2 linked regions of the Drosophila melanogaster genome follow. The gene in region 2 interacts genetically with the main gene of each other region. Each region holds a gene or a part of one and is shown on either strand. Other genes may lie near its edges.

Region 1 (3,755 bases), 5.7 Mb from region 2:
CTTTGGCGGTTGGCGGTTGGCTCATTAATGTCTGACACGTTTGAGCGATCACCGTGCTGCAGAAACTCGAAAAAAGGTACTGATATAAAAATATATAAAAAAAAAAACAAACAGCCCAAAAAAAACGCAGTGTAAACAATTTTTTTAAAGCCGCTCGTGATTAACATTAAAAACGCATTTCCAATGGAGATCTGATTCTGCATGCACCGATTTCCGAGAGGAACAGATAGGCGGACTGCGGCAGCCAAGCAGAACGTTTATAAATATAATACAGTAGTTAGTGGCTACAAACGAAACAACCAACCATGCTAAACTTACAACTTTTCTAAAGCTATATCTATTTGAATATTAGGTATCTAAATTTATAATCTGGATCAAGAACTCATTTAAGTATAACCACGGAGTTATTAGCGCGTTCTTCTTAGGCGGAGCTTACTGTTTAAACTATGAATTGGGCGGGAATTATATATTCAGATATGACACGACCCAAGTTGCAAGTGCAGCGGAAGTGATCCATTACGCAAGTTTAGAGCGGAAAGAGCGGTGCGATTGCTCGAAAAAAAGAGATGGCAGAGTGGAAGGTAGAAAATGAGTATTAAAACCCATGGGGGTTTTATTACAATTACAATTCTGTGACATGCCAAACGAATCCCTCGAACTGGAAACTCTCTGTTCCAACCAGAATTCTTTATTTTTGGTTTTCTTTTCCTGTTTTGGGGTTAAATCTAAATACATACAAATGGCATTATCAAAGTTTAAATAAAATACTACATTTTATAATACATAACTTAAAGGGGATATATTATATTTGATTGGCAATTATAGAAGTTCCTTGTTCTCCTAATATTACAAGTTTATCTGGTTCTTTGTGCAACAAACTCACCTTGTGGCAAAACGCGGCTGCCTCCTTGGCCACGCCTACTCCGTCCGCTGAGTGGGCGTGCGTTGATGGCGAGGTCGCGTAGACGAAGAGCGGTAGCGAGCTAAAGTTCCGTTTGTCCTGAAAGCGGCGGCTGAAGAATAACGGCTTGTGGCATCCCGCTGCAGCGGCTAGTATGTTTGTTGTTGTTGCCGTTTTCGTAACACTAGGTGTGGAAGCTACTGCTGCTGCTTCTTCTTGTCTGCGCGTATTTACTGTTGTTGTTGTTGTTGTTATGGGTGCTGCAGTTGTTGTGTTTGCTGTTGTTGCATTTGCTGGGGTCGCCATTGGCGTATCGCAATTTTCTCGTATTATCGCCGCTTCTTCCTCTTCGCTGCAAGTTGTTGTTGTCTGTGTTTGCGTTTTTGTTGTTGGCATGACTACAACTACAGCTACTATAAATCGAATATAAATATATCGACGGAGGCGTGGGCGGTGGCGGAGCTGTGGGCGTGTCCCTGCAGCTGCTGGCGTCCCTTATTGTTGTTTCTGTTGTTCTTGTTGTTATTACTTAGGACCTTGGCATTATCCTCCTCCATCTTTTTTGCTGTTCAAGAAGTCAGCGAAGTTCAGCGCTTGCCAAAACTGAATGATTAGCACTTGCACATCGTCGCGTTTATCTTGGCTTTCTTCATTATTTCTTGTTTTTCAAGTGCAAAAATATTGTACAAATTCTTGGGCCATACAAAAGTGTGAGTTCTGTGTAAAAATTCACAAAAAAATACGCACGAAGCCGATTGCGGGGGTGGGAGAGAGATGGCGATACACGAACGAGTTCAAAGGGCCGCCAAACTAGGAAAAACACGCCAACAAATCAAACAAAACACTTGCACAACCGCAATTCGATCAATGTCGAAGCAAAACAGCCACTAATATTAAGTATATTACTTAATTAACAAACACTTTTGTTTGAAATATTTTGCAGACAGTTAAAGTTAGAGCTGGAACCAAAATCGATGTTTATGCGATACTATCGATGTATAGGGTAAGAGGGCTGCATTGATTAAATTCAGCTACCGTCGATTGTTTTAACTGTTCATACTATTATAACGGCAGTTTCAGACAGCGGAAGCGCCATTTGGAGTAGTGAGAAAATAAAAAGTTAAATTAAATGAACCAGTTTATTTTGTTAAAAATATTTTCATCCTTATGATAATAAAATCTAAATACTAAAAATCTACTAACGCCTGTTATTCCCAAAAACTATCGATAGCACAACGGAAAATATCGACAAGTATCCTGAATTGGCACGTCGGCCTTGCCAGACCAGCGCTCTGGAGTGAATTTAAATTTTAAAATAACGCCCTGTCAATTCAGTTGTAGAACTCAGTAGCTAGTCGGAAAGTTTTCAAGAACTCGGATTACCAACATCTCAAAATTGCTCAGTAAAAACATTCCGGCAGCCTGCAACACGTTGGGTGTTAACAAATTTACATACAAGTTGCAAGCTTTTGGGCGCACGCACCATCGATAAGAAGGTAGTTCGAATAAAATATAACACCTCCTCGCTGCCGGTAAAACTATTTCTTCTGGCTGTTCCCGAACTAAAGTGAGTATGAAGAGTCTTGCATTGGCAATCAAATTGTAATTAACTGATTCATCCCTCACCTAAAAGGCGTTGCCACCCAATCGATCTGGCCACCCCTAGCGAAAAGGTCATATAGCTGGACTGCTCTGCTGGACTTCCGCTTCACAACACTACCACACGACACAGACACACCATTCCTCTCGCTCGGGCTTACACTTCGGTGTAACGATTGTGCTTCGTTGCGTTCTCAGCTCACTAACGGTCGTCTCTATCGCACAAACGGTCGAAAGGCCCCGCATTGATTGTGAAAAAATAATCGTCGCCGTAGTCTTCGTCGGGTCGCCGTTTTTACTTGCAGTGCGCTGGTGCTGCTTTATTTCGTGACAAGGGACACTCAACCGAAAGAGCCATATTTAAGCATCAAAGTTCTAGAGGCGCAACGCAGCTTTGTGTTTCGTTTTTCGTTCAATTCTAAGCAGGAGGATTATATATTGAATAAAACCCAATTCTGTGCGAAGAACAAAAGAAATACGCGAGACACCAACACCAGCACACAACCAACCAAACACACACACAACCAACCAAACACACACACAACCCAGAAAATCAAATTTCAATCAGAAAATGGCGTTAAAAAGAATCAATAAGGTATGTGAAAAAAGGAATATCTCAAAAAACTTTGCGAAACGGACTAAAAAAAGAAAGAACAGAACCCTTTGCGATACACCAAAATGATAGTCTAAAAAAAAAGCGAACAGACATCAGTTTTCAACGGGAGAAAAATTTTATGCAAGAAATGTGAAACGTAGGTAGTAACCGAGGAGAAGAAAGAAGAAGCGGGGGGAAAGAAGCGTGCAAGAGGGAAGGGAGAAAATGAGCTGTGGAGTTACCATTTAATTAATAAGTTAGTAATTAGGAGCAGATTAGAAATTTTGAGGGTGGTGAAAAAGGTATAAGGATGTGTGTGTGTGGTGGGCAAGGCAACGTGTAGTGCAGTCATCGCTTCCGTTACTTTTGCGAGAGTGTGGGATAAGTGTGTGTGCGATGCGTGTGCGTGAAAGTGCAATGCAAATGTGCATTGTTTGTGTGCGTGTGTGCCGGGCACCTGGATGCATTTACATTAATGCAACTATACGGCGGAGTTTTCGCAGCTCTACGGGCGCTGTTACCCAATACACGCTGTACACGGCACTCGCACACACTCTCAGCCTCGCAACAGTCACACATAAACGCACACACTGCCAGCGCCGCAGAAAGATCCAGCAAAAAATAAAACAGAGCAAAAGCAAGAAGCGTATAAAATTAACC
Region 2 (3,755 bases):
GACCACAATTGTTCGTAGGAGGCCAGTAAAAATAAAAAAAAAAGGGGTAGAAGCTTAGCCTATGCGTCACTGGCTTTGCTTTGCTTTTGCTTCGCCTGCTTTGGCCAAAAAAGAGAGCATTGAAGCCGAGAATGCAATTGAGCCAAAGTCAAAAAAAAAAGGTGATTTGTTGTTTTTACTTCTTTTTTTTTGTCTTTCCTTAGCTCAGCTGCTTGCAACCAAAACAAAAACAGCGCAACAAATTCCCCAGCCCAGATAATCGTTATGATAAACATAATCGCTCCTTGGGAAAATTGCTTTTGGTGGTATTTTCTTCAACTCAAGATCCCTCCGATCTGGTCTTCTCGATCAATTTGCGGTTACTTGGGTGCGATTGAAAAATTCAGTTTTCGAGAACTGACATTTCCGGCGAAAAAGTCGGAGTGTCGATGTTAAATTCTGCCGAAAAAGCCTTGAGAGAATTTCACATTTAAGATTTTTTCGCGCTTCTTTTGTGTCTATCTAGTCGGAAAAAAACAATTACTATTATAATCGCAAACTGGGCGTGTTCTGGGTGAGCATTTATTCATTAGCTTTTTGTTTTAAACTAACTCAAACTTTTTCGGTTTTTGCTCTTATCTTTCGTTATTTGTTATTGTTCTTGAGACGTAAAATGCTAATGTATGCATAAATGATTGCGGCTGGCTGTGTTTCTCGCTTATTTATCTTGCCGCTTTAATTAACCGAATGAATGAAAGAGCGATAGGTCAGACCACATGCTAATATTATGTGGGAATATCGCTGGAGATAAAAATACGATTCCCAGATCGATGAATAATGTATTTAAGGCATTTTCGCACGCGGTAATTACATTTGCTTCAAGACTTTAATGGTCAGATATCACGAAGGAAGTTTTATATTGTTAAAATGTACTACATCTACTTTAGAACCCAATCACACTGATTTTAAAAATTATTCCTGGATATTCCGAGAATTGTACGTCCTTTGAAAAACGACTTGGAAATTAACTGAATATTCTTGTTAATATATCCATCGATATCCTTAGCCCGATTCTTAGCCTGGTACTAATGCGACTACTAACCCAATCCAAAGCGCTTCTTGATCTTCTTGAGCAAGTGCATTTTCTTCTTGCTAGAGAGCTTGTCCTTGGTGCTCATGAGCAGCTCGTTGGACTCCATGGCCAGGACCTGGGCGGCCTGCTGGGCGGGAGTGGGCATGGCGTTGTGCAGCTGCTGCATCTGTTGCAGATGCTGCAAGTGCTGCTGATTCTGGTGGTGCTGCTGCTGCGGATGGAGAGTTAGGTGCGGATGGCTGCCCTGCATATAGTTGGCTGGTATATCCGATAGACCCATGGTAGTGGATTATTTCTTATTTCGTTATTTAAATTAAAACAGACGAACTAAACGAACACGCGTAATGCTAATGAAAATGCACAAGCTGCTTGCGTATTTTATTTGGCATTAAATTAAGCGATAGAGTTCTTCTTCGAATTTGAATGTTTTCCGTTAAAACATTTTGAATTTGGTTGGTTGTTTGTCTGCGCGCAACGGGAACAAACGAAACGAAACGATACGAAACACAAAGACCGACGACGACAACTTCGAGACAACCTTTCGCTGAGTTTTTTTTCAACAAATAAACGGTGGTGCAGCCTTTTATAGCTTCGCACCAGCGCGACGTCGCTGACGCAGCTCAGCTGGAGAGTAACGGATAGTACTGGCGCGCAGAAATTCTCCCGTCAGATTTGGCTTTTTTTAGTATATGTTTTCAAGATATTTAGAAGTTTAGGTATGCCAGTAAGACATATTTGGAAATTTAAGTTTTTTATAATTACTATTAACGTTTAGTGACAATTTGGGCTGTAGATTTGAATAACATTTCCTGTTTTACAATTTAATTAAAATCAAGAAACGGTAACTAAATTACATTAAAAATGCTTCAATTTATTTAAACTTATAATTTGTAAGCAATCTATTCAAATAATTTAAAATTTATCCATTTTCTGGCTAAGGGCTGTCAGCCCTGAGCGTGGATGGAGCGAAAAAGAGAGCTCAAGAGAGAAAATTATGAGACGCCATCGCTCTCTTTCTCTCTCTGGCAGCTGTTTCTTATTTACTATGGTTTCGCTTTGTGCCTGCTATTCGCGTGTATAGAGCCTCCCTTATAATTTACCTTTATGCCTCTAACTCTGCACCTTGATCAGGGATTCCTCCACATCTTCTCCTGCTGTTGCTCTTCCTGCTTCTTGTTGTTGTTGCTCTAGGCCTGCATTTGGGATTTTGGCCATAGTGCTCTGATCTTCACTAACAGTTATTCTCCTCACCTTAGTGTGTGTGTAGTTCAGCCAGGTTCAAAGCAATTCTTTTTCTTTTTCGCAGGGTTTACAAGGTCTGGCTCATATAACTAGAAAACTATTTCAATTGCCCTAATGCTTTTGATCGTGAACTTTGTGGGCCAAATATCACACGTACATACATATGTGTGTATGTATGTACTCAGTTGGAGTATGTATGGAGTAATTCCATGGGAATTAAAAAAAATTCCCAAACGTTTCTTGATAATAATAATAAATTTCTTCTTTTCCCAATTGTTTTCGGCACATTTAATTGTCCATTTTGTATGTGCAATTTATTTTAATAGAGAATATGAAACGAGATTTGTTTTTGTTTTGATTTTTTAAGTTTGCACTATAAAGATTATAAAATGAAATGGAAAGTTTGTAACTCAATTCCCAGTTTTGAAACCATTAGCTTACACAGAATTTAAAAAAATGTACCTATGATCTGGGACACATGCTATTGTGGTCTCATTTGCTAAGCTTTAGCATTGTGGTCAGCAGGATAACTGCCGTCTGGCGTCTGATCATCCTTTATCCTTTATGGATGCCACGCTGCCATTGATGGAGGATGATAATTGCGCCGAGCGCTCCTTATCCTCATCCTCGTCCTTTTTGTCCTGCATCGACAGACGGAACCGGGCAGACCTCACAGCAGATGCAATTTTCAAGATCGGAAGGGATCAAGACGGGGCAGAAAGCATTTAAATTTTGATATTAAAGTGGAAATGCATATTCAGCATCCTGGCAGCAGGCGTGCGTCCTGGAAATACATCTGCTGCTGCTTACCCGATTTCCCCCTCCTGTTCGCTCAGTTTGCAAAAATGCAAAAAAGGTCGGAGAAGGTGATGTTGGCGAAACAGGAACCGGCAGACATCGAGACCAACGAACAACCCCAAAAATTGTCAAAGAATACAGTGATCATTGGATAGAAATATTTTTTATCGACTTTAGGTTAAGTAGAAATATTAAAAATGCAGAGTAAATATCCTTGCAATATTATTTCAAGCCCTAAACCAACCTTATTTTTAGGATACCATTTCTTTTTTTTCTTTTAAATGTATGAATACTTATGTATTATAATTGCGTATCATAGTTTTTCGCTTATCGATATCCACTGTACCCATCATGATCACCAACGAAAGGTGTCCATCTGCGGTTGCAGTTGGAAAAAGGATCCGAAAAGGGTTTGCTCTACTGTAGTGCGTTTCCCCGCGCAGCCCCTGCCATTGGTTTCGTTCTGTTTGCTTGCCAATTCCAGGTGTAAATTCATAGCAAAAGATACACAGATACACGGTGAAGAGGGATTTTCGAAGCGGAGAAAGAGGAAGCCAGCCAGCCGACCACGTGCCAGGTTAAAATCGAAAAAAAGAAGAGACGTGCGCCAGTTGCCTTGGCTGATAAGGATGTGCTCTACTTC

What was found. Genes that interact genetically often act in the same process or in processes that back each other up.
Region 1: of neur (region 2) and eff, changing one suppresses a phenotype caused by changing the other (phenotypic suppression), as found in Drosophila melanogaster (one study listed by BioGRID).

What each region holds. Positions count from the first base shown.
Region 1 is NT_033777.3:14,739,720-14,743,474, reverse strand, and holds the start of eff (effete), read left to right. Parts: upstream 1-2,155; 5' UTR 2,156-2,468; intron 2,469-2,534; 5' UTR 2,535-3,071; coding exon 3,072-3,095; intron 3,096-3,755. Other genes in the region: jvl (javelin-like), read right to left, coding at 884-1,297. UniProt on the Drosophila melanogaster protein: Catalyzes the covalent attachment of ubiquitin to other proteins. Mediates the selective degradation of short-lived and abnormal proteins.
Region 2 is NT_033777.3:9,032,098-9,035,852, forward strand, and holds the start of neur (neuralized), read right to left. Parts: upstream 1,635-3,755; 5' UTR 1,353-1,634; coding exon 1,082-1,352; intron 1-1,081. UniProt on the Drosophila melanogaster protein: Involved in neurogenesis. Interacts with other neurogenic proteins in the specification of the neuroblast versus epidermoblast cell fate.